3 linked regions of the Tamandua tetradactyla genome follow. The protein of the gene in region 1 binds, or shares a complex with, the protein of each later gene. Links are inferred from orthologs where the notes say so. Each region holds a gene or a part of one and is shown in the gene's direction. Other genes may lie near its edges.

Region 1 (7,442 bases):
GAGGCTGGAGCAGACGCTGGGGCTGGTACTGTGGAACCAGCCCACTTTGACGCTTGAGTTAATCTAACTGGACTCCAAAATTGACTAATTCCTCCCACCCCTCTCACTACTAATTCAGCTCCAGAATTAAACCGCACTGATCCCAAGCCAGTCCCCAGACCGCACCTCCCCCCCCCCAAAGGTAATCACTGCATCACGCTTCAAAGCCACTGAGCCAGCTCCTCATGGGGGGCGGTGGGTTTCACTTACCTTGCCTGGCCACCTGCCCAGGGCAGATTGGATGCAGCTGGGGAGGCCCGGCACCTCCTCCTTCCCTCTCCCTTGTCTCTCTCCCTTGAAAATTCTCCTTATCCACTTCCCTTCATGCCTTTTCTGGCTGGACATTGGAAGTGGGGGATAGGGGAGGTGATTCCTCCCAAATCAGGAAAAGAGAGCGCCCACTAAGAAAGTTTGGAGATTATGCCTTTAATCAAAAGGCACAGATCACTTCCCGGCTCGGCCCTGCCCATCCTACCCAGGCCCCCAAAGCCAAAATCTGAGCAGTATGCAAGGGTGGAGCTCAGCACCTCTGAGATGGAGGTCCTATCCACCCCACCCATCGAGTAGGGGCGAAGGCTGGAGGGGCTGGGATGGAGGGGAGGAGTGACCTGGAGATGAGGGGTTAATGGGGAGAGTGTGATGGGGGGAGGGGGGAGAGCACCTTGTGAGGCACAGTGGCCACTCGTGGTACTGTGGTACTGCTGCTTCCTGCTGGGGGCTCTTGGGCAAGTGGCTAAATCACTTTAAGCCTCGGTCTCCTCATCTGTAAAATGGTGGCCTAGAACTTCCTCCACGGAGTTGCAGTGGGGATTAAGGGAAATGATTGGGTGGATCTCTTGGCCCGTTGGGGGTTTCAACACTCATGAAGTCTCATTATCTGCTTTCCGGTTTCTGCTTGAAAGTGGGTTGGGGCCTCCAAGCTGATTTCTCCAATCAGCTGGAGACAGAGGGCATAGAGGGAAAGAGAGCTGAGGTGGGAGTCTAATAGAATGGGATGGCAGGGAGTACTACGGGGGAGCTTGCCTCCTTAGATGGGCAGGGTGAAGGTAGGGTGGTGAGGGGGATAGGGGAGTGGCTAGCCCCTCCCATGTGGATACCTGAAGATGTAGTTTGACCCCCCACTTCCACTCCCAGTTCCACGCAGAACTGCACTGATATCCTCAACCCTTTCACCTTAGTCACTATTGGGCTCAGGAAGCCTTGGGTGGGGGGTATAGTGGGGGAAGTGACCCTCTATATGTGTAGTTATATTATGGGTGCTGGTTCTGGGGGACCCTCCAGGAAAGCTCCTGCCCCTTGGAGCTGCCTCTCTGGCCCCACTTTCTGGCCAACTCCTAAGATCCCTCTCCCTGCATCCCATCCCCATCCTGGTCTGTGACTGCAGGTACTGCAGTTTGGAGGAAAGGGGGGTTGGGAGAGTGTGGGACTTGCCAGGCCAGGGAGAAGTTTTTGAAGAGCGCCCATGTGGGGGCTAGGAGTTAAGACCACTAGGGAGCTAGACGTGGGCAGGCAAAGGCTCTGTGGGGCCTCCACTATTGTTCCCAGGGAAAGGAACCCAAACACCCATATCACTCTCACCTGGAACAGGAATCCCCACTGCTAGTGGTGGAACCGATGCAGGGAGGTTGATGAGGTGGTGGGGGTGGCCGTGGCAGGGGCAGTCGTGGTGGGAGTGACTATGGAGAGGGTGCTGTGGTGGCTGGGGTGACGGTGGTGGTCCCAGAGACAGAATATCCTCATCGGAGCTAGGCTAGCCGTGGTATGGTCAGGCCGAGGTGTCACATTATAAAACAACCCTTCCCGTCCAGTAACTAACACACTAGAAAATCTGCTCCACGTAGGCCATTGCTGTTGTCCACCACTGAATCCCCAGGGCCTAAAACAGAGAGCATGGCATACAGTAGGTGTTCAATAAATGCGTCAAATGAATAAAAGGGGATTGAGTGTCTCCTTGTGATGAACCTCTGTTACCTCTTTTATTTCTCATCATGCCCTTCAGAATGGGAGCTTTTCTTAAATTCTCATTAAGAAAGCTGAGAAGAGGTGAAGCTTCTTCACCTGAGAAGTGAAGAAGCTGAGAGAGGTGAAGTAACCTGCCTGCGACCACACAGGAGGAAGCAGGGGGGAACAGGGCAGGCCTTCCTACCCAGCCCTGAATCCAGGCTGCTGGTTTTTCCTCTGCACACCCCTCTCCCCGCCAGCACTCAGCATTACATCGTGGTCTTGGGCTCAGGCTTAATCATAGAAATACTGCTAATAATAGGAACAATTGCTGTTTGTGATTGTTGGAGTAAGGCTTAAATGATCAAGGCGATGGAAATTATTAATAAGCCAGGCCCAGTCATGGTACTGTGGGTCATATTAAATGGTGTTGAGATGGATAACCTTGGCAATAATAGTAACCAGTCATAAATTAATAACAGGAGTATTTAAATTGATGCCACACCATCGATACCCTTGGTAGTCGGCAGCTTGACGCTGCCGTTAGTACTAATGTTGCCCCTTTCTGCTTTCCACGAATTCCACTGAGGGAAAAGGCAGGTCAGTAAAAGCAGCAGGAGGAGCAGACATCTTAGAGACCGTCTCTGTCCAAGAGAAAAGCCTCAGGGACCGCTGAGTCAATGCTGGCTGTCCAAGCTCTTATACCCAAAGACGGAGACAAGGGTTCATCACCAAGAGTGGGGCTCAAGGCCATTAGATGCTGCCCACCTGTCCCTCCCGGGTCTGTTCCCCAGACTTTGCTAGGTATTTGGGAAAGAAGTTCAGAGGGCGAACTTCGTTTTTCTGTGAATGCATGAATGAACTTCAGCTGATCTAAGAAATCACCTAACAAGTGATAGCAGGCCCTCTTCGCCAGTGCTCTTGATCTCCCCACATTCCTGTGATTTGGGAAGCTGGTGCCATTTTTCCAAAGAAGAAACTGAGGTCTAGGCATGGCCAAATCAGGACGCAGGGGGTGGGTGGGTTCTGTAGACTTGTTCCCCACGCTCTGTCTTCCAGAGCCTGCATATCTGGAGACGGGGAAAGGATGAGGACAGACAGGAAGTGAGCAGCAGAGACTGCTCCCTCAGCACAGCCCCTGGGTGGAGGTTCTTTGATGTGGGCCCGTAGAGCTCTCTAGAGCGTGGTGAGTGTGGTCCTGGGGATAGAAACTGTCTCTGCTTGGAGACTCCCGCCCTCATCCTGCACCTACATAGTACATGGACACATGGAGAGAGAGAGTGTATCTCTCTGTGAGTCTGTCCAACCGCTTATCCTTTTCTTCCATCCTACAGAACTTCAATATTGAACATCTACTATGTACCAGACATTCAGACAAGAAGGCAACGTTCATTAGATGATTAGCTTTTGATCTAATGAAAACGGTTCAGTGAAGTCTATATTGTTAAGGATGCATCTGTGTGTTTGTGTATGGGTGTGTGTGTGTTCATGAATATGTGTGCACGTATGAGAGACTATAAACATACGACGGCCGGTGTTCATGTGACCATACATGTGTGGCATCGTATCCGTGCATGTGGCTGTGTAGATGAGTATGTGCATTTGAATGCTATGTCTCCATGTGCAATGAGAGTGCGTGTGTGTGTGCAGACATGTGGAGATGCATATGCATGTTCGCGGTTTCCCATTCACCAAACGTGTAGAACGTGCAGGTGAACACGTGTGCAAGAGGATGGTGTGGGCTTATGTGAGTGTGGGAACACAAATAGATGTGAGTTCGAGAGTGTATGTGTGTGTATTCCAGTGTTTTGTGTGCACACCTACTTGTGATCCCTTCAAACCCATCACTAGAGAATCTGAATGATGTCGGGGCGGGCCTCTCCTGTATGGCCCCGCAAAGCGCGCGCACAAACACACACGCACAGGCTCGGGCCACCTGCCATCCCTCCCTCCCCCTAGGCCCTTGCACAGAGAACACCGCACTGGGGCGGGCGCGAGATAGGCGTGGCGCGAAGTGGGCACCGCTACTGATAACTGCTGGGGAGGGAGCAGGGGAAGCGAAGCTAGAGGCGGAGGAAGGTGGGTAAGAGAGAGAACCCCGTGAGGGCCACAGCCGGAGAGAAACGCGAGCCACAGTGGGGACGCCCTAGACCCTGGGTAGTTTGCGGGCCACGCGCAATAGCGCGAGCCGGGCACAGGGTACCGGGGCGGAGTGGGTGAGAGGCTCTGAGGCCCAGGACGCGCGGAGAAGCGGCAGCGGGGCGCGCGGGCGCGGCTCTCCGCACACCCTCCTTTCCCCTTGGCTCCCTCCCGGAGGCGGCGGGGCGGGCGGGCGCGGTTCCGGGGGTGGGCGGGCTGGGCGGGGAAGAGGCGGGGCGGCCGCACTGGCTTCACCCAGCCCCTCCCGCCGGCAGTCAGAGCGAGCCGAGGCTCAGCCAGCTCCGGCCGGCAGGCGGGCGCTGGGGCGCAGCGCAACCCTACCGGTCCGCGGAGCGGACTGAGCTGGAACACGCGCGCTGCAGCGGGAGGCGGGCGATGCGGGCAGGTGCCGTCAGCCGCGCCATGGACGGGCCACGCCTGCTGCTGCTGCTCCTGGGGGTGAGTGATAGTCGGAGGGGAGTCCGCTTCCGTCCCACGAATCGGAATCCCGAGGGGATCCGGGAGCCGCCACCCGAGAGAAAGAACAGAGTGTTGGGGTCCCAGATGCTGGAGGTGGGTGGCGGGAGAGGGGCTCCGATGCCGGAGCCTCAGAGGAGCGTCTGGGGTTATCCCAGCGTAGAGGCGTCTCTGGGTTCCAGGCTAGAAATGCGGACAAGACGGGCGCGCAGATGTCTGCTTTCGGGTACTGCGGGAGGATGCGGGAGGAGCTGAGAGGGGCGTCTCAGCAGAGGGTCAGGGCGCTCTTGGCTGCCTGAGTTCTTCCGAAGAGGGCTTAGGAATGACGGGATCTCGAGGGGACTGCAAGGTGGTGGGACCGAAGTGAGGCGAAGGGAAGGGAATGGGACCGGGACTGGAGATGGGAGGGACGAGGGAGCCTGGGGCAGAGAAACGGAGACGCGGGGATGGAACAATGAGGGAAGAGGCTGAAGGGACGAGAGGCAGAGGGGACCGGGCATCGGACAATGGGGACCTGCCAGACAATGGCGGGGAGGGGCGTCGGGGGGAGAGGTTCCGAGAGCGCGAGGGCAGTTGAGGAGGGAGTACGGATGGGTTGGGAGGGCGGAAAAGGGACGATGGTGAAGGCAGTGAAGAGGTGGAAGCAAAAGAAAAGAGGACCGAGAACAGGGTGCGAACCCTAACGCGGTCGGGGTCCCGTCTGCCCGCCGAGGGACATGAAGGAAGATCGGAGACACGGATGCGCAGGAGACATGGGACGTTTCTCCGCCCGGCTCCCGCGCTCTTTCTCGCAGCTTTGCCTAGTCTGCGAATTGCGGCTGGGCAGCCGGGGCGGCGAGGGGGGCGCCCACTTCGCAGGGGCCAGCTCGCTCTCCGGGTTCCCCCACGGCCGGCGGGCTCCAGCGGCGCGCGGGGTCTCGCGGTTTGAAGCCGGGCGGAGGACCAGGAGGTCTGGAGCGGGCGTCGCCCGAGTGGGTCTCGCGGCGGCCCGCGGGGTGCAAAGAGCGCGGCGCTCTAGGCGGGGACCATCGGGGCAGCGTGGTGTCGGGCCGCGTAGACCGCAGGCGGCCCACAGGGGGTGCTGCGGCGCGACAGCTGTGCCACCCCGAGTTGCGTCCGAGCCTAAGACCGCGCACCGTCCCCGCCCCCCCCGCCCCGCCCCCCCCCCCCGAGTTCCGTGAGTGCACCTAGAAGGGTCGGGATCCCGCCTGCGCCCCGCCCGGTTTTGGGTGGACGCCGTCGGGCGAGCGAGATGGGGGCGCCAGGACGCCTTGGATTCTTTGGCCGTGTCCTTTAGCACCAACTCGGCAAAGGACGGCGGGTCCTCGAAGCTTCTGAGTCTTCCCAGTATTCTGACAAGGTTTTCAGGAAATGTGATCTAGTGTGTGGCTATAAACTGAGTGCCCCGGAAGGTCTGGCAGTGAAGGCGGCGTCCTCACTCTCCCCTTGCCATCTTCATCTCTCACCTGAGCATCGCGCCCCGACTTCCCGTTTCACAGAGAAGGAAACTGAGGCTCTAAGGATTGAAACGACTTGGTCAAGATCCCACAAGCAAGTTGGGGCAGAGTCATAAGTAAACGCCCCATCACCTGATTTCCAGCTCAGAACCTTGCACCCCCCACCCCTTAAGGGCAGCTGGCTCCCCAGCCCGGGATAAGAGCTGCGTTTCGGGGTGGGGGGTTGAGGGGGGCCGAGGTTGACACCTCTCTCAAAGTCAGGTCCGCAGTGGAATATAAGGGTGTGGTAGGCAGGGACCCTCTCCGGACGCGGGCCCCATCCTTGAATCTTAGCCCTGGTCCCCTGGAGCTGTCAGTACCTGTGGCTTCGTCCTGGGACTTGGGATTGACTGCGGGCATGGTTGCTGACTAATGCTTCCCGGAGGAACTGCTTCTGGTGCGGGGTGAGGGGGGTACTGGGGCGGCCAGTGGCGTGGATCCAGGAGGGGCGGCTCCGGATCCCGGCAGGAGTGTGGCTCCCAAGTAGAGGAGAGAAGAGGAGGGAGGCAGCTGGGTGTGGAGGGCCTGCGGCCTCGGGAAGTGGAGTCCTGCGCAGAATCCGCCACCTGCAGCCTCGACGCCGGGGCTGCCCTGTGTGAGCCGACAGCGCATTGCCTCCGTCCAGGTTTCTTCCTGGGCCGCGGCGAGAGAGTGCTGAAACCAGAGCGCTTCCCCGCGGCTGGGCTGGCGGGACGCGCCGGTAATGGAGGCACTTTGTCATTCAGACGTCTGTAACCGGAGCCGCCGGGCTGGCTAATGCGCCTAATAGGGATGCAGCTAAGGCAGCAAATGGGCAGGCGGGAGAGGCCGGGCTTGGGGGGGGGGGGGGGCCCACCCGGTTGTAGCAGCCCAGTCGCGCTCACGCTCCTCTTTTCTTCCCGAGGGGGCGTGGATGGGCAGGCGAAAATAATACGATTTGTTGAATACCTACTATGTGCCACGCATGTCCTGAGGACTTTCTCTTGCGTTATGTAATCCCTGTAAAGTCCCAGCAGAGTTACTCCCATCTTACATTGGAGGAAGCTGGACCTCCCAGACTCTTTAGGCAGGAGAACAGTCTCTCCCAGCGAGCGAGTGGTGGGCCCTTGTTGGAACCCAGGAGTTTGGCTCTGAATCCACTCTTCCGTCCTACGCCAGGCTAGCACCTCCCTTCTAGTCATGGCGATGCGTGGCCGTGAATGGCGACCAACTCCGGAAACTGGATCCATGCTCAAGTCCTTGGTACCACAAATTTGGAATCTAATTCCCCTTCTTTCCACCCAGAGCCTCCCTACCTCCCCTCAAATATACATGCAGTATCATCCCAGGTCATTAGCTTGCGGCTCCCACCCCCCACCCCAATCAACACCT
Region 2 (7,837 bases), on another chromosome or scaffold:
GGTTGATCTGATCCTGTTACCCTGCTCGAGAACTCCCGGCTGCTCTCATCCTAGGGCCACCCGCCTCGTAAGAACGGCAAGCCCTCGAAGTCCGTTTCTGCGGGCAGTTCTTCCTGCTGTCTAACTTTGGGTGCGGTGTCTTACTTGCGCTACAGACCAGCAGACGTTGCCATGTACCTTCCCATATGAAAGAGGAACCCCAGATGCCAGCAGCCTTTCCTCAGAGAAGGTATCTTCCTCTTGATGCCTGAATTTGGACATTTTTGTGGCCTTAGAACTGTACATTTTAACCTAATAAAACCCCATAGAAAAGCCAACCCGATTTTTGGTATACTGCCTTCCAGCAACTTTAGCAAACTGAAAACCCTGGCCATTTTGCCAGGGAGGCGTGGGATCTGCCGCAGAGGAAAGCGGAGCAGGGGGATAGTGGGAAGGGCAGGAGCTGCCGGGAACCCGGGAGGCGGAACGCACTAGAGGACTGGGCGGCCCGGAATGGGGCGCCGCCCCTGCGCCTCCGCGCGCACACACGGAAGCGGCGCCGACAGAGCGGAACCGGGCGGGCGTGGGAACCCAGGCCCGGCGGAGGCGGCCAGGTTAGTGAGGAGGGTGGGTGGGCTCCCGGGTGCCACCAGGAGCGGAGGCGGAATCCGGGCTCCGAAGAGTGGGCGCGGCGTGGTTGTCACCCGCGGCTGCCCGGTCCTGAGGTGGGATGCCCGGGACTGTTGAGCTGCACTCCTGGGCCCTTGGTGGTAGGGGTGGATTTTCTTGGGTCGGTGGCATAGACCCAGCCCAGGAACCTAAGCCGGTTCCTCCGAGGAGCGGACTCGCCTTGGGTGGAGCTCCGGATTTCCCAAGGAGGGGATTCTACGGAAGGACAAGTTGGAAGGAACTTCCAAGGGGACGATGGCAGCCGAGGGCCCCTCAGCCTCTTCTCTACTCCGTTAACTGACCCTCTCGACCTCCAGCCCGGCAACCCTGTTTGCATTCCCCCATTTGCGGAGCCCTAGTGAGTGTGTTGGGCAGTCCCCCAATCTCGAGGTATCCCGCGCCCCCCTGGCAGACCCGACCGGTAGGCTCCTGCCCTTCCCCTCTCCCACGACGTCCCTTCTCTCCGACAGCCTTCGGTCAGCAGGTTAGAAAGACGTCAAAGGGGAAAGGTTTCAAGGGCCGGTAGGTTCCCACTGTCTCCTCTCCCCTTGGATGTCCCTGGGCCACTTCCTCAGGGCACCCCACTTGTTACCTGCAGAGTCTCACCCCACTGTGTTTTTTTTTTTTTTTTTTTTTTTATTAACGGAAAGAAAAAAAAGAAATTAACACAACATTTAGAAATCATACCATTCTACATATGTACTCAGTAATTCTTAACATCATCACATAGATGCATGATCATTGTTTCTTAGTACATTTGCATCAGTTTAGAGGAACTAGCAACACAACAGAAAAAGATATAAAATGTTAATATAAAGAAAAGAAATAAAAGTAGTAGTAATAGTAAAAAACAACAACAACAAACAAACCAACAAGCAAACAAAAACAAAAAAAAACCCTATAGCTCAGATGCAGCTTCATTCAGTATTTTAACATGATTACTTTACAATTAGGTATTATTGTGCTGTCCATTTTTGAGTTTTTGTATCTAGTCCTGTTGCACAATCTGTATCCCTTCAGCTTCAATTACCCATTGTCTTACCCTGTTTCTAACTCCTGCTGAACTCTGTTACCAATGACATATTTCAAGTTTATTCTCGAATGTCCGTTCACAACAGTGGGACCATACAGTATTTGTCCTTTAGTTTTTGGCTGGATTCACTCAGCATAATATTCTCTAGGTCCATCCATGTTATTACATGGTTCACAAGTTTATCTTGTCTTAAAGCTGCATAATATTCCATCGTATGTATATACCACAGTTTGTTTAGCCACTCTTCTGTTGATGGAGATTTTGGCTGTTTCCATCTCTTTGCAATTGTAAATAACGCTGCTATAAACATTGGTGTGCAAATGTCCGTTTGTGTCTTTGCCCTTAAGTCCTTTGAGTAGATACCTAGCAATGGTATTGCTGGGTCGTATGGCAATTCTATATTCAGCTTTTTGAGGAACCGCCAAACTGCCTTCCACAGTGGTTGCACCCTTTGACATTCCCACCAACAGTGAATAAGTGTGCCTCTTTCTCCGCATCCTCTCCAGCACTTGTCGTTTTCTGTTTTGTTGATAATGGCCATTCTGGTGGGTGTGAGATGATATCTCATTGTGGTTTTGATTTGCATTTCTCTAATGGCCAGGGACATTGAGCATCTCTTCATGTGCCTCTTGGCCATCCGTATTTCTTCTTCTGGTAGGTGTCTGTTTAAGTCTTTTTCCCATTTTGTAATTGGGTTGGCTGTCTTTTTGTTGTTGAGTTGAATAATCTCTTTATAAATTCTGGATACTAGACCCTTATCTGATATGTCATTTCCAAATATTGTCTCCCATTGTGTAGGCTGTCTTTCTACTTTCTTGATGAAGTTCTCTGATGCACAAAAGTGTTTAATTTTGAGAAGCTCCCATTTATTTATTTCCTTCTTCAGTGTTCTTGCTTTAGGTTTAAGGTCCATAAAACCACCTCCAGTTGTAAGATCCATAAGATATCTCCCAACATTTTCCTCTAACTGTTTTATGGTCTTAGACCTAATGTTTAGATCTTTGATCCATTTTGAGTTAACTTTTGTATAGGGTGTGAGAGATGGGTCTTCTTTCATTCTTTTGCATATGGATATCCAGTTCTCTAGGCACCATTTATTGAAGAGACTGTTCTGTCCCAGGTGAGTTGGCTTGACTGCCTTATCAAAGATCAAATGTCCATAGATGAGAGGGTCTATATCTGAGCACTCTATTCGATTCCATTGGTCGATATATCTATCTTTATGCCAATACCATGCTGTTTTGACCACTGTGGCTTCATAATATGCCTTAAAGTCAGGCAGCGCGAGACCTCCAGCTTCGTTTTTTTTCCTCAAGATGTTTTTAGCAATTCGGGGTACCCTGCCCTTCCAGATAAATTTGCTTATTGGTTTTTCTATTTCTGAAAAATATGTTGTTGGGATTTTGATTGGTATTGCATTAAATCTGTAAATCAATTTAGGTAGGATTGACATCTTAACTATATTTAGTCTTCCAATCCATGAACACGGTACGCCCTTCCATCTATTTAGGTCTTCTGTGATTTCTTTTAACAGTTTTTTGTAGTTTTCTTTATATAGGTTTTTTGTCTCTGTGTTTTTATTTAAAGTATTATTTTGCTATCCCATCTCTTGGTTCTTTTGGTTAGTGTCTGTTAATGACCCTCCTTTCCTACGTCTGTCCATCCTCCCTACCCTGAAACCCACAGAAAAAAGAAAAAAAAATATTATTTTGCTGTTTAAATAATAGACACAAATGTGTCTATTTTAAAGTAGAAAATACTGCTGGATACAAAGAAAATAAAAGTCACCCCAAATCCCAACTCCACAGAGATCAATAATGTTAAGTTCTTATTCATTGCCAGATTGTGGTTTTGGGTAAATACACAACATTTAGTATGTTTCTACCAAAAAGTTATTGGCAGGGGGAGGGGTTCAAGAATTCTGTCACCAGTGATCAGACGCAGGGAGGACCATTACCAGCGGTCCTTTCTCTCGCCTGGAGCTGGGCAATGTGGAAAGCCCCTACCAGGTTACGCTCCAATTCTGGCACTCAGCTTAAGGTCCGGGGGGATCTGAGGCACAATTTCTACTCTGAGCTCAGGACTCCTACACCCTCCCCAAACGTCCAACGCTATGGTTCTGGCTCCTCTTTTCTGGCGTCCTTTCCTCTGAGGCTCCCTGTCCCTCTTGTAAATAACCAGCTGGGGCCACCCAAATGTCCTGTGGAGAGCAAGGACATCCAGTGACTCACAGCTAAGGCTCAGCATTCCTCCTAGCCGAAGACCCAGAGTAAGAGAGTGTGACTGAGGGGACAGGAGGTGGAGTCTGGAGCCAATGTTTCCAAGAAAGGTGGGATGGGGCCTTGGATGGGAAGAGGAGAAAAGAGGCAGGGCAGTTCCCCACCTGCTGCCTCAGGGGACAGTGACTGGAAGGTCGCTGAGCTGAGGGTCAGTATGTTGCTTTCTTGTTTGTGAATTTACTCCCCTCTCCTCATCCCTGGTCAAGACCGGCCTTTGTCAGGAAGATAGAGGGAGGAGATACCTGTGCCAAGGGGTCCTGGCTCTCTGGCTGGACATGGAAAGAATCTGAAATAGAACCATATGTGTTGCAAATAACAAGAGCCCAGCTCTAGGACAAAAAGGAATGAGGTTGCAAGAAGTCCAGGGTACAACAGCTTCAGGGATAGCTGGATCTAGGGGCATAATGTGGTTAGACTCCTTATCCCTCTTTGTGGGATTCATTTTAAGTCAGACTCTCCCCAAGCAAGGCCAAAGAGACTTACCTCCTCCTACCAGCTCAGCCCCAAGGGAAGGGATGCTAGTTCCTCTTTTCTGTTGGTCCAGCCAGAGTTGCTGGGTTAATTCTGATTGGTCCAACTTGAGTCCTCTGCTTAGCTCTGAGTTCATTGCTGCACAAAGGGGATGGAATATGCTGAATGGCCAGGGTTTTCAGTTTGCTAAAGTTGCTGGAAGGCAGTATACCAAAAATCGGGTTGGCTTTTCTATGGGGTTTTATTAGGTTAAAATGTACAGTTCTAAGGCCACAAAAATGTCCAAATTCAGGCATCAAGAGGAAGATACCTTCTCTGAGGAAAGGCTGCTGGCATCTGGGGTTCCTCTTTCATATGGGAAGGTACATGGCAACGTCTGCTGGTCCTGTCTGGTTCTGGTTTCAGTGGCTGTCTCCAAATGTCTCTGGGCATTTCTCTCAGCTTCCCTGAGCTCTCTGAGTTTCATCTGCATTTTATCCTCTCATGGGGACTCCAGCAAAGGGATTAAGACTCAGCTTGAATGGCCTGGGTCCCATCTCCATGGAAACAGCCCAATCAAAAGGTCCTGTCCAACAATGTTTGCCCCACAGGGATGGATTAACAGAACATGGCCTTTTTATGGGGTACATAACAGCTTCAAATCAGCAACACCAGGCCAGACCTGGAGCCTAGGAGTGGAATTAACTCTCCCAAGAGTGAGAAGAGGTAGGGGCAATGCCCAAAGGTCAGTCAGTGTTGGGAGAGGGCTGGGCACTTTGCCCAGGACCAAAGTGCAGATATTCTTGGAAATGAAGCCAAGAGGCTGAAGAACAGTTGTAGTGGGAGTGCAGGTGCGAGTGTCTAAGGTTGAGACTGTTCCCGCAGGGATCTGGGGAGCTCATGTTTAAGCTGAGGGAACGACCAGGGCATGGATGCTATCCTTGGCTTTGAGTAAGAGAGACTGGTGGACCTGAGGAGGAGGTAGAGCCTCCGCTGTGGGATCAGATCTCTGCTCTCCTGCCACCGTGACCCTGGGCTTTTCCTGTGAGAAGGCAGGGAAGGGGTAGTTCTCACTGCAAGGCTGGGCTGGGCTCTGCAGGGCCAGAGGCACGTGGTGCTGCCTGTCAGATGGTGAACCCCTCTTGCCAAGTGTACCAGCAAGGTAGGGCTGCCACAGAGGGGCAGCTGGGCCAGGTGGGACTTGTCAGATCTGCCTCCAGGTCTGGGAGCGGGTGACTTGGGCCCCTGATTGTCTTTGTCTCCAGGAGCCGAGATGGCAGCTGACCCGAATGGGCCTGAGGAGTGGGTGGGCAGTGCATACCTGTTTGTGGAGTCCGCACTGGACAAAGCGGTCCTGTCTGAAGCCTATGCACATCCCCAGCAGAAGGTGGCCGTGTACAGGGCCCTGCGGATGGCACTGGCAGGTGCGTGGGTGGGTGGGTGTGTGGAGAGGAGGAGGGCCCTGTGCCCTGCCTGGGTTCTCTGTGGGTGCAGTCAGGGACGGAGGCCCTGTCTCCTAGGTTTGGTGGGCCCCAGCTCAGCCAGTGAATTAGGGAAAAGATCTGATCTGGGGGAGACCCCTGGCTACACAAGTTTTGTCTTCTCTGCTGAGGGCATGTGTGCCTGAGACATGTGTGGCCGTGTCTGTGTAGGCTCTACCTATTTGTGTGCTAACATCCCCCTGCTCAACCCCAGCTGACCCCACCCCAGGCCTGAAGGACCACTCCTTTCTACTCATCGCACTTTTCTCTTTTTCCCCTTTTCCTCTTGGGGAACACCCCTTGCCCAAGGTTCCTCCCCAGTGTCTGCTCTTCGTGGTCCCCCTTTCCTATCTCAGGGCAGAGGCCACAGGAGGCCGAAGCCATTTGGGGGACGTCGCCCCAGCCCTAGAGCAGCCAGAGTCCCTCTCCTTCCCGGGCAGCAGGAACCACACTGGTTGAGGCGGAAGAACTGAAACCTCCCGCCCCTCCACCGTCCTACCAGTCCCCTACTTCCCTCTCCATGCTGCCAAGTCCCTCACCAGGTTCCTTTTGCTCATCCTCATTTGGGGCTTCAGAGATGGGGGTGGGTAGTAGGCACTCCGCCTTGGGGTGCGCCCAGTAATAGGTCCTGGCCTTCGTTCTGTAATAGGTCCAGGCCTTGTTGCTGTTTGCATCCCAAGCTTGTTTACCACCTGAGTGTTCTGGGGTAACCCCACAGCCCCCCAGGTCTGGGGATGAGGGGATTTGACCTCGGGCTTCGCCCCTCCTCCTGCCACCCGGAGGATGACCCCACGTGGGGACCTCCGGGCTCCTGACTGCCCGCCTCCGCAGAGAGCGGCGGGAACCCGGACGTGCTACAGATGCTCAAGATCCACCGTAGCGACCCGCAGCTGATTGTGCAGTTGCGTTTCTGCGGGCGCCAGCCCTGTAGCCGCTTCCTTCGCGCATACCGCGAGGGAGCGCTGCGCGCGGAGCTGCAGAGGTGCTTGGCGGCAGTGCTCGCCTGCAACTCACTGCCTTTGCAACTGGAGCTGCGCGCCGGCGCCGAGCGGCTAGATGCTCTGCTGCCGGATGAGGAACGCTGCCTGAACTGCATTTTCACCCAGAAGGTGTGGCTTCGCTGAGTCTAGGATGGGGCGGGTTGTGGGGGGTGGAGGGGAGGGGAGGGGGAGCTGCGCTCCCAAGATTCCTACCGACGTCGCACTCCCTTACTTAGCCGGATCGGCTCCGTGATGAGGAACTTACTGAGCTGGAGAATGCTCTCCGTGGCCTCTCGTGCGGCCCGGGAGGCCAGAGTGGCGATGTGGAGGTCCCTCCCGCACCCTCTCAGTCCCCAGTCCTCTCGCCGTCCACAGCCTCCTACCGGTCAGAGAAGCCGCCACCGTCACCTGGCCAGACTTTTCTGTTCCAGGGTCACCCCGTAGGTAAGGCGTGCACAGAGAGTCAGGGTCGCCAGGAGGAGTAAGGTTGGGGAGGGTATTGGCTGTGGACTACCTCCCCCCGCCACCCCCTACTGCTCACTCTACTCTCCTTCTCCCGCAGTGAACCGGCCGCTGAGCCTGCAGGACCAGCAGACTTTTGCGCGTTCAGTGGGCCTCAAATGGCGCAAGGTGGGGCGCTCGCTGCAGCGTGGTTGCCGGGCGCTGCGGGACCCAGCGCTCGACTCGCTGGCTTATGAGTATGAGCGCGAGGGGTTGTATGAGCAGGCCTTCCAGCTGCTGCGGCGCTTCGTCCAGGCCGAGGGCCGCCGCGCCACGCTGCAGCGCCTGGTGGAGGCGCTGGAGGAGAACGAGCTCACCAGTCTGGCAGAGGACCTGCTGGGCCTGGCTGATCCCGATGGCGGTCTGGCCTAGGCCAGGTACTGATGCCAGGAAAGGTGCAGTCTGCCAGGCTGGGCTTGGAGCACCTCAGTGCCTCTAGGGTGCCTTCTGCTACTGCTGCTGACT
Region 3 (7,311 bases), about 43 Mb from region 1:
TTTGATTAGAATACTTCCACCGAGATGTGACACGCCCCATTGTGGGTGTGACCTTTTGATTAGATGGAGATGTGAATCATCCATTTCAGATGGGTCTTAATTAGTTTACTTCGGTCCTTTAAAGAGGAAACAATTTTGGAGAGGGCTCAGAACAGAGACATGGATGTTTGGAGATGCTTGGAGCCCAGCAGATGTCACCATATGCTTTCCCATGAGATGTTAAGTGAGCCAGAACCTGGAGAGAGCCAAGGGAAACCAAGAGATGAAAGCCAGCCCAGGAGAAGCAAAGCGATGAAGTGCCCACAGGAACAAAGACCTAAAGCAAAGGAGCCTAGGGGCACAGGAGCAGCAGATGCCAGCCACGTGACTTGGCAGCTGACAGAACTGCTCCAGACCCACTGGCTTTTCTTAAATTAAGGTCTCTTTCCCTGGATGCCTTAGTTTGGACATTTCTATGGTGTTAGAACTTTAAGCTTGTAATATAATAAATTCCCTCTTTAAAAGCCATCCATTTCTGGTATATTGCATTCCGGCAGCTTAACAAACTAAAACATGGGCCCAACCACACCTGGCTTCTTCCACGCCCAAAAGACACAAGCACCAAAAAGGAGATGAGAGGCACGTTATCCAAGTGCAAAGTGTGGGGAATAAACCAATCGGGAAAAAGGCTGGGGGCTCGGGTAAAATTGAGTGTGTGGATGTCATGGTCAGGTTCATGTGTCAACTCGGCCAAATGATGGTTGGGCAAGCGCTGGCTTGTCTGTTGCAATGAGGACACTTCAAAGAATTAAATCATGAGCATGTCAGCTGCCTCCACAGCTGATTCCATTTGTAATCAGCCAAAGGGGCGTGTCTTCTGCAATAAGTGATGCTTAATCTAATCACTGAAAGCCTTATAAGGAGGATTCAGAAGAAACAGGCTTCCAGTTTCAGCTGGCGAGCCTCTCCTGTGAAGTTCGTCCAGACCCTCAGAATCGTCGCCTTCACAGCCTACTCTGCGGATTTGGACTCTGCGTTCCCACGGTCACATGAGACACTTTTATAAATTTTATATTTGCGAGTGTTCCCTGTTGATTCTGTTTCTCTAGAGAACCCTAACTAATACAGTGGATTACCTGATAATATTAAAGCTTTTTTTTTTTTTTTAACTTTTATTGTGGGAACATTTACAATGTATGTAACATTTCCCACTTTAAGCCCTTTGAATTCTACAATTCGGTGTATTGATGGCATTCATGGTGTGAGCTCCCATCTCCACTGTCCCCACCCTGTAAGGGATAGTGAGGAAATCAGAAGTCCAGTGGCTGCACAGTGACCTGTTCCCCAGCATGGCCCCGGGTATCAGATCCCCTGCTATACAAAGCAGCACCGACCATCCTTGTAACTAAACCTTTGCACACAACTGTGATTTGTTTGGACTTTTATTTTGATCTTTATGGTGACATAACAAAGTTATGAGCATGACATAACTTTGAAGGGCCCACTTCAGTGGCCCCTCACCACCATCCATCAGCGGCATTTGCCCAACACTGCAAAACCATCCAGCACTTTCCTCCAGATGGATTCCATATGACCTGCTGGGCAGGTCAGCCTGGCAGCACCTGCATCCTGCATGCTCACAGCACTTGGAACTTTTTTTTTTTTAATACCAATTTGATAGAAGGCTCAAAATAGTGTCACTTGTCCACTGTGATGATGTGAAAGCAAAGCACCACCTCACACCCAGAGGATCTTGGGTCCTGGAGGGCTGGCACAGCCTGCAGGAAGCAGACAAAAGCCATGTGCCTGCACACTGGAGCACGGGCAGGCGCCAAGACACCACAGGACCAGCGATTGTCCTTCCAGCAAGGCCAGGAGACACAGAAAGGACCAGCCTCTTGGTCAGCTCATCTCAATGTTGGCAATTTACCTCTGTTCTCATTCAAACAGGAAGTAACAAACTCCAGGCATTCGAGGAGAGCTGGCTGCAACTACAACATGACGAATTTTTGTGAATTTTCTTGGTGTTCTGGGTACACCTCACAGCTCAGTAGTGTAAACCAGCTGCTGTTTTGTGATGCCAGATTCTGCAGGTGGTGAGGTGAGAGGCCAGGTAGGGGCCTCTGCGCAAGCCAGGGTGTGGGGGTAGGTCCACGCTAGACCACCTGGCTCTTATGTCTCAGGTTTTGGGATTGCGAGAAGCAAGGTCCAATGGCCTCCTGGTTGCCTGGATGTGCTTTGGTGCCAAGTCCCTGGAGCCAGCATGGGATGCAACCTCTGGAGGCCTTGGAAGGAGTGACTACTTTATGCATAAGGGGAATGTGAATAATTTGCAGTTCCATTAAAGGTCACACATCCTTGGCTTCTCTTCCTGATGAGCCCTCCCACCGGGGCTGGCCTGGGCCATGGCTCAGCCTGCAGAGGCGTGGTTCTAGCTCTTCTAAAGTGAAGTTGCAGAAGTCTGATGAACTTTCATTTTGGAGCCCTGCCCTGAAGGAGAGGCCTAACTCCCTTGGGAAGAGGACCTGTCGGGGGGCCCCCAGTGAACAGTGGGAGCTGCCAGCAGGGCACCGAGCTTTCAGACACAGACCTTTGGGTGGCTCCAGCACAGTTCCCATCTGACTGCAATGGGGCGAACAACCCAACAGAGTTGACTTGACCCAGAGAACACGAGAGAATGAGGCATTACTGCTTCAAGCCACCACAGTGGACTGGCTTGTTACGTAGCTGAAGATGTTCCTGAAACAGGTGGAGGACGTGGCTATTGTTTAAAAAAAAAAAAAAAAAGCTTTTTCTTGTAAACTGGCCCTGAAACATCTATGCTTGACGAGAAGTCTGAGATTTGCTTCCAGGTTGCGGTGCATGGGAGGAAGGAGACTGGCTACGAGGAGCAGCTGTGGGAGCTCGGGCCAGGCCCACTGGGTTCGGGACACACTAGTCTTTCTACCTCCGTGGAGGTGGTGGGCAGCTTCTAGGGTGGCCCTGGGGAGCCCACCTCTGGGAGCTGATGTCCTTGCCTCCCGTGTGACCAGGAGGCTGGGGCAGAAGTGATGGCCGGCACTTCCAAACGCAGGGACGAGATCGAGTGCCTGCTTGTTCTCTCTCTGTGGCCTGCAGCCCATAGCCATATGAGTGGCTTGGAAGTGGATCCTCTGGGTTTGGCTCCTCGGAGACCACAGCTTCCAGGGAGACCCTTAGCCAAGGACCCCCCAGCTCAGCTGCTCCAACCTCAAGCCAGATAATAAACGGTGGTTGTAAGATTCTAACTTTCAGGGCAGTTTTTCATCCAGCAATCTGTCACTAATAAAGTGTATTAGGAAATGTTCTATCCTAGAGGTGTGTGTGTGTGTGTGTGTGTGTGTGTGTGCTTGTGTGTGTGCAAGCATTTGGGTTACCAGGCAGCGGACTTCCTCAAGCAACTAATGACTCAAACAGGAGTACCAGCTCCACTGGAACATTCAGCCTCTACGGCAGCAGCGGGGAAACCTCAAAAGCAACTTCACCATCCAAAAGAAAGGAAGCCTTGCTTTTGGCCCGGCTAAACTCCCTGCGCTGCCAACTCTTAGCCCAGAAGATCCCAAGATAGTCCTCAATAATCACAAACGTTCCAAAAGCAACCAAGGTCAGTATCTGTCCAGCACTCTCGCAGAGACTGCTCTCGGGTGCTGAGTTTCCGAGGCGGGACAACACAGGTGTGCGTGTGCTGTGCCGGCGTCTGCCCGAGCCCGGGGAGGGTGGCCTGTCCAGAGCCAGGCCGTGGCCCTGCTACCCGCGGCCGGACAGCCAGCAAAGAACGCTCTGGTCCGTCCTGGGTGCTTGAGGGATGGCCTACTGTAGTACCGTACGCAGGGCGACATCTCCCGTTTCAAGGCACTGTTTGATTGCGATTCTGCCGAGGGCCGAGGTGAGAGCGTGGGGCTTGTACCGGGCGGGTCGGCGGGCGGCAGGGTTCCCGGGGGTCCAGGGGAGGGAGACAGCAGGACGGCCCGCGGCGCTGGCGAAGAGCACGCTAGGCCCAGGGCCTGGGCAGGAGCCGGCCCGCAGCTTCCGGGCCCGGAGGAAAAGGCACAGGCGGCGGTAGGGGGCGGTCCAGCTGCCGGCAACCGAGCGCCCCTCCCACGCGCAACGCCGGCCTACGGCCTTTTGGGGTACCGAGGCCTCCCCGCCGCGCGTACTCGCGGCCCTCAAGATGGCGGCGCGCGCCCCTGCCGCCCGCGCATGCGCCCTCGTCGACCCCGCCCGGCCGGAGCGGAAGTCGCGTGACCCCGGAAGTGACCGCGGGCGCGGGTGGGGCGGCGGCGACGTTCGTCATTCGGTGCGGAGGGAACGCGAGCGCCCGCGATCGAAGCCTCCGGTGGGTGCCCGCCGGCGCGGGGCGCGGGGACGAGGGGGCCCGGGAGTCAGGGGCGGTGCCGCGGGCGGTGGCGGCGGGCGGGGCGGGACCGCCTTTGTTCTCGCCGCCCCCGCGCCCCGCCCCACGGCGGCCGCCCCGGGGTCCAGGCGGGCGCGGGGCGCGCAGGGCCGGCGGGGCTGGGGCTCGCGGGGTGCGGGCAGCCGCCACGTGAGGAAAGGGGGCGGCGAGGCCCTTCTTTGGGCGGCACGTCTGCAGCTCCTAGCTGGGCCGGGCGGGGCCTAGGGCGCGCCCCTCCCCTGGGAACGGAGCGCGCGTGGGCGCCCGGCCGGGGTCGTGGTTCCCCTGTGCTTCTCGCTAGCGATCCCGCGGCCTGGGGCGGTGTCCCGAGCCCCTCTCCTCGGGCCTCCGTGCCCCGCCCGGCCGCGCCCGACCGCGCCCGGTCGGGATTGCTGCGCTCTGCGCGGAAGATCGTGCCCCTGGGGCCGAGGGTGCCCTGCGGCTACGCTGCTCCAGCGGGCGAGCAGGAGGCCTGGGAAGGGCTTGGGCCACCCCCGGCAGGCGGCAGCTCGCGGCCCCATGACACTGAATCCTTAATGTTGGCAGGTCTGCTCCGGGCTTGTCGCCTCCCGAGTGCGCCGAGATCTCGTGGCTCCCACTGACCGGAAGGATCGAGTGAGTGGGTTATAGAGAGAACTGCTGGGTTCCTCAACGGTGGTAGCGGTATCCTAGCAGGGAGTACGCTGCCCCGGACTTCCTGGGTCCTGAGAGGTCTGAGTGGTCCCCGCGGTTTCTCAGGCCTTGGTCACAGACTCTCACAAATGGAGAGGGCCTTGGCAGAAGCCCGGGGCCCCCACTCCCCTGAGACCCCTGCAGGGCTGGAGCTTTGTCTCTGGCTGCGGCTGGGGGAGGGACAGCATCCGTTGCCAGGAAGACCTAGTTCAGTGACCTGTGGGGGTGGGGGTATCACTTGGCATGTGTGAAGCAGCAACAGGGCCAGGGGCTTGGCTGGCGTGGGAGATGATTTAGCTCGAGGCCTACCAGTCGTGGGGTCCGGGGCCCACCTAGAGCCCCCTGTGCTGCACAGGAGGGCTGTGGGGCTGGGAGACCAGCCTGGCCTGGGTCATGTGGTATCCATGGCAGTGGGATGAAGTAGGGTGTGACCTGTGTCCTGCTGTCTCTTGATGCCAGAGGATGCCCATGGAGTCCAGGTGTCACGAATTGGGGTGGGCTCTGGACCACCCAGCAGAGCTGCCTGAGACAAGCAGGGCAAGGGGGTGCCCCCGTGTCTCAGGCTGTTCCTCTGGTGACTGGAAAGCTCAGCTGCAGAGGGAGGCCCCCTCGGGGCCCTGTGTGGCGAGGCCAGCTCTGCCGATGGCCCTCTTCAGCACAGTGCTAGCCGAGCTGGCAGCCTGGCCTGCAGCAAGGGCTGGAGGTGGCCCCAGTTTGACAGACTAGCAAACAGCTATATCAGAAGTCCAGGCTGCCACAGCCCAGTACTGTGCCCCAGGTGTCCCCGACCCGGCTCGTGGTGAGCATGGCCGAGCAGGAGCCCACGGCCGAGCAGCTGGCACAGATTGCAGCCGAGAATGAGGAGGATGAGCACTCGGTCAACTACAAACCCCCCGCGCAGAAGAGCATCCAGGAGATCCAGGAGCTGGATAAGGATGATGAGAGCCTCCGCAAGTACAAGGAGGCCCTCCTAGGCCGCGTGGCCGTGTCTGCTGGTGAGGCCCCTGCGGCCCCCTCCAGGGACACCTGTCACCCCATATTCCCACACTGCACCCCACCTCTGTGCAGAGGGGTGGAGTTCTGACTACCTGTCTTTCTCCTAGACCCCAACGTCCCCAACGTTGTCGTGACCCGCCTGACCCTGGTGTGCGGCACTGCCCCGGGCCCCCTGGAGCTTGACCTGACAGGTGAGGGTGCTGCCTGCTGCCGTGCTGCTATCCCTAGGGCCTGCTGCCCCCTGCTGGGAAGCTGAGCAGGTGCAGCCCGGCGGGCTGAGCCTTGGCTTTGTGAGCCAGGATACTGCCGGTTGCAGGGGGCCCTGCATGGGCCGGGTGGTGGTGGGTCCCAGGTCTAACAGGCAGCGGGGAGCTATCCTGCTCTGAACTTTTTGCTGATGCGTGTTCTCCTTTTGTCTAGGTGACCTGGAGAGTTTCAAGAAAGCGTCTTTTGTGCTTAAGGAGGGGGTGGAATACCAAATAAAAATTTCTTTCCAGGTAAGGCAGGGGCCGGGGGACCTCAGGGGGTGAGGCCTGGAGAAGCCCCCTGACCCTCTACCGGCATCCTTGCAGGTGAACAGGGAGATTGTGTCCGGCATGAAATACATCCAGTACACGTACAGGAAAGGGGTCAAGAGTGAGTGTGGGCAGTGGGCCCCGGCTGCCTGGGAGGTGATTGGCCCTGCAGGGAGTGGGTACAGGTGCCTGACGGCTCTGGGACCCGCAGGAGTGAGAGGCAGGGCTGTGCGTGTGTGTCCCTGTGGATGTGCCTTCCCGTCCCCATGCTCACTGCTGTCCTCCCCCTCGGCCACAGTTGACAAGACTGACTACATGGTGGGCAGCTACGGGCCCCGGGCAGAGGAGTACGAGTTCCTGACGCCTATGGAGGAGGCACCGAAGGGCATGCTGGCCCGGGGCAGCTACAACATCAAGTCGCGCTTCACAGACGACGACAAGACTGACCACCTGTCCTGGGAGTGGAACCTCACCATCAAAAAGGAATGGAAGGACTGAGGCCAGGCCTGGGAGGCGGCAGGGACGGACAGACATACCCCATCCCTCTCTATCCTCCCTGTCCCCATCCCCAGACCAAAGTGCTGACAGGGCCACCCCTTTGCCGCCTGCCCTTGCCCCATCTGCCTCCCGGCCGAGCTCTCCCAACCCTCCCTGCACCCCTCCCCAGCCCGCAGGCCCTCCCCCCCACCTCATGGTGGTCAAGTGTCACGTTGCTGCTTCTGCCTGTGTTCTGAGGGA

What was found.
Region 2: the proteins of NGFR (region 1) and TRADD are in contact, whole or in part, in an NMR structure (PDB 7CSQ), measured with the Homo sapiens proteins. The link is inferred for Tamandua tetradactyla from reciprocal best matches to the Homo sapiens genes NGFR and TRADD. Residues at the interface, in NP_002498.1 of Homo sapiens: Glu345, Glu346, Glu348, Lys349, Leu350, Asn352, Gly353, Ser354, Ala355, Glu379, Ala380, Cys381, Arg384, Glu420; in NP_001310481.1 of Homo sapiens: Thr201, Phe202, Asn211, Ala275, Glu276, Arg278, Arg279, Thr281, Gln283, Arg284, Glu287.
Region 3: the proteins of NGFR (region 1) and ARHGDIA are in contact, whole or in part, in an NMR structure (PDB 8X8T), measured with the Homo sapiens proteins. The link is inferred for Tamandua tetradactyla from reciprocal best matches to the Homo sapiens genes NGFR and ARHGDIA. Residues at the interface, in NP_002498.1 of Homo sapiens: Arg274, Trp275, Ser277, Cys278, Lys279, Gln280, Lys282, Gln283, Gly284, Ala285, Ser287, Arg288, Pro289, Val290, Asn291, Gln292, Thr293, Pro294, Pro295, Pro296, Glu299, Lys300, Leu301, Ile307, Ser308, Val309, Gln312, Ser313, Asp316, Gln317; in NP_001172006.1 of Homo sapiens: Ala8, Glu9, Leu11, Ala12, Gln13, Ile14, Ala15, Ala16, Glu17, Asn18, Glu19, Glu20, Asp21, Glu22, Val25, Pro30, Ala31, Gln32, Lys33, Ile35, Gln36, Glu37, Ile38, Gln39, Glu40, Leu41, Asp42, Lys43, Asp44, Asp45.

The regions. Positions count from the first base shown.
Region 1 is NC_135332.1:30,679,211-30,686,652, forward strand, and holds the start of NGFR (tumor necrosis factor receptor superfamily member 16), read left to right. Parts: upstream 1-4,414; 5' UTR 4,415-4,515; coding exon 4,516-4,578; intron 4,579-7,442. UniProt on the Homo sapiens protein: Low affinity receptor which can bind to NGF, BDNF, NTF3, and NTF4. Forms a heterodimeric receptor with SORCS2 that binds the precursor forms of NGF, BDNF and NTF3 with high affinity, and has much lower affinity for mature NGF and BDNF.
Region 2 is NC_135342.1:60,850,524-60,858,360, reverse strand, and holds the start of TRADD (tumor necrosis factor receptor type 1-associated DEATH domain protein), read left to right. Parts: upstream 1-4,801; 5' UTR 4,802-5,006; coding exon 5,007-5,136; intron 5,137-5,675; coding exon 5,676-5,834; intron 5,835-6,722; coding exon 6,723-7,000; intron 7,001-7,107; coding exon 7,108-7,315; intron 7,316-7,433; coding exon 7,434-7,744; 3' UTR 7,745-7,837. UniProt on the Homo sapiens protein: Adapter molecule for TNFRSF1A/TNFR1 that specifically associates with the cytoplasmic domain of activated TNFRSF1A/TNFR1 mediating its interaction with FADD.
Region 3 is NC_135332.1:74,062,248-74,069,558, reverse strand, and holds ARHGDIA (rho GDP-dissociation inhibitor 1), read left to right. Parts: upstream 1-4,226; 5' UTR 4,227-4,333; intron 4,334-4,936; 5' UTR 4,937-5,005; intron 5,006-5,840; 5' UTR 5,841-5,867; coding exon 5,868-6,057; intron 6,058-6,165; coding exon 6,166-6,249; intron 6,250-6,478; coding exon 6,479-6,555; intron 6,556-6,630; coding exon 6,631-6,694; exon of another isoform or gene 6,695-6,871; coding exon 6,872-7,071; 3' UTR 7,072-7,199; downstream 7,200-7,311. UniProt on the Homo sapiens protein: Controls Rho proteins homeostasis. Regulates the GDP/GTP exchange reaction of the Rho proteins by inhibiting the dissociation of GDP from them, and the subsequent binding of GTP to them.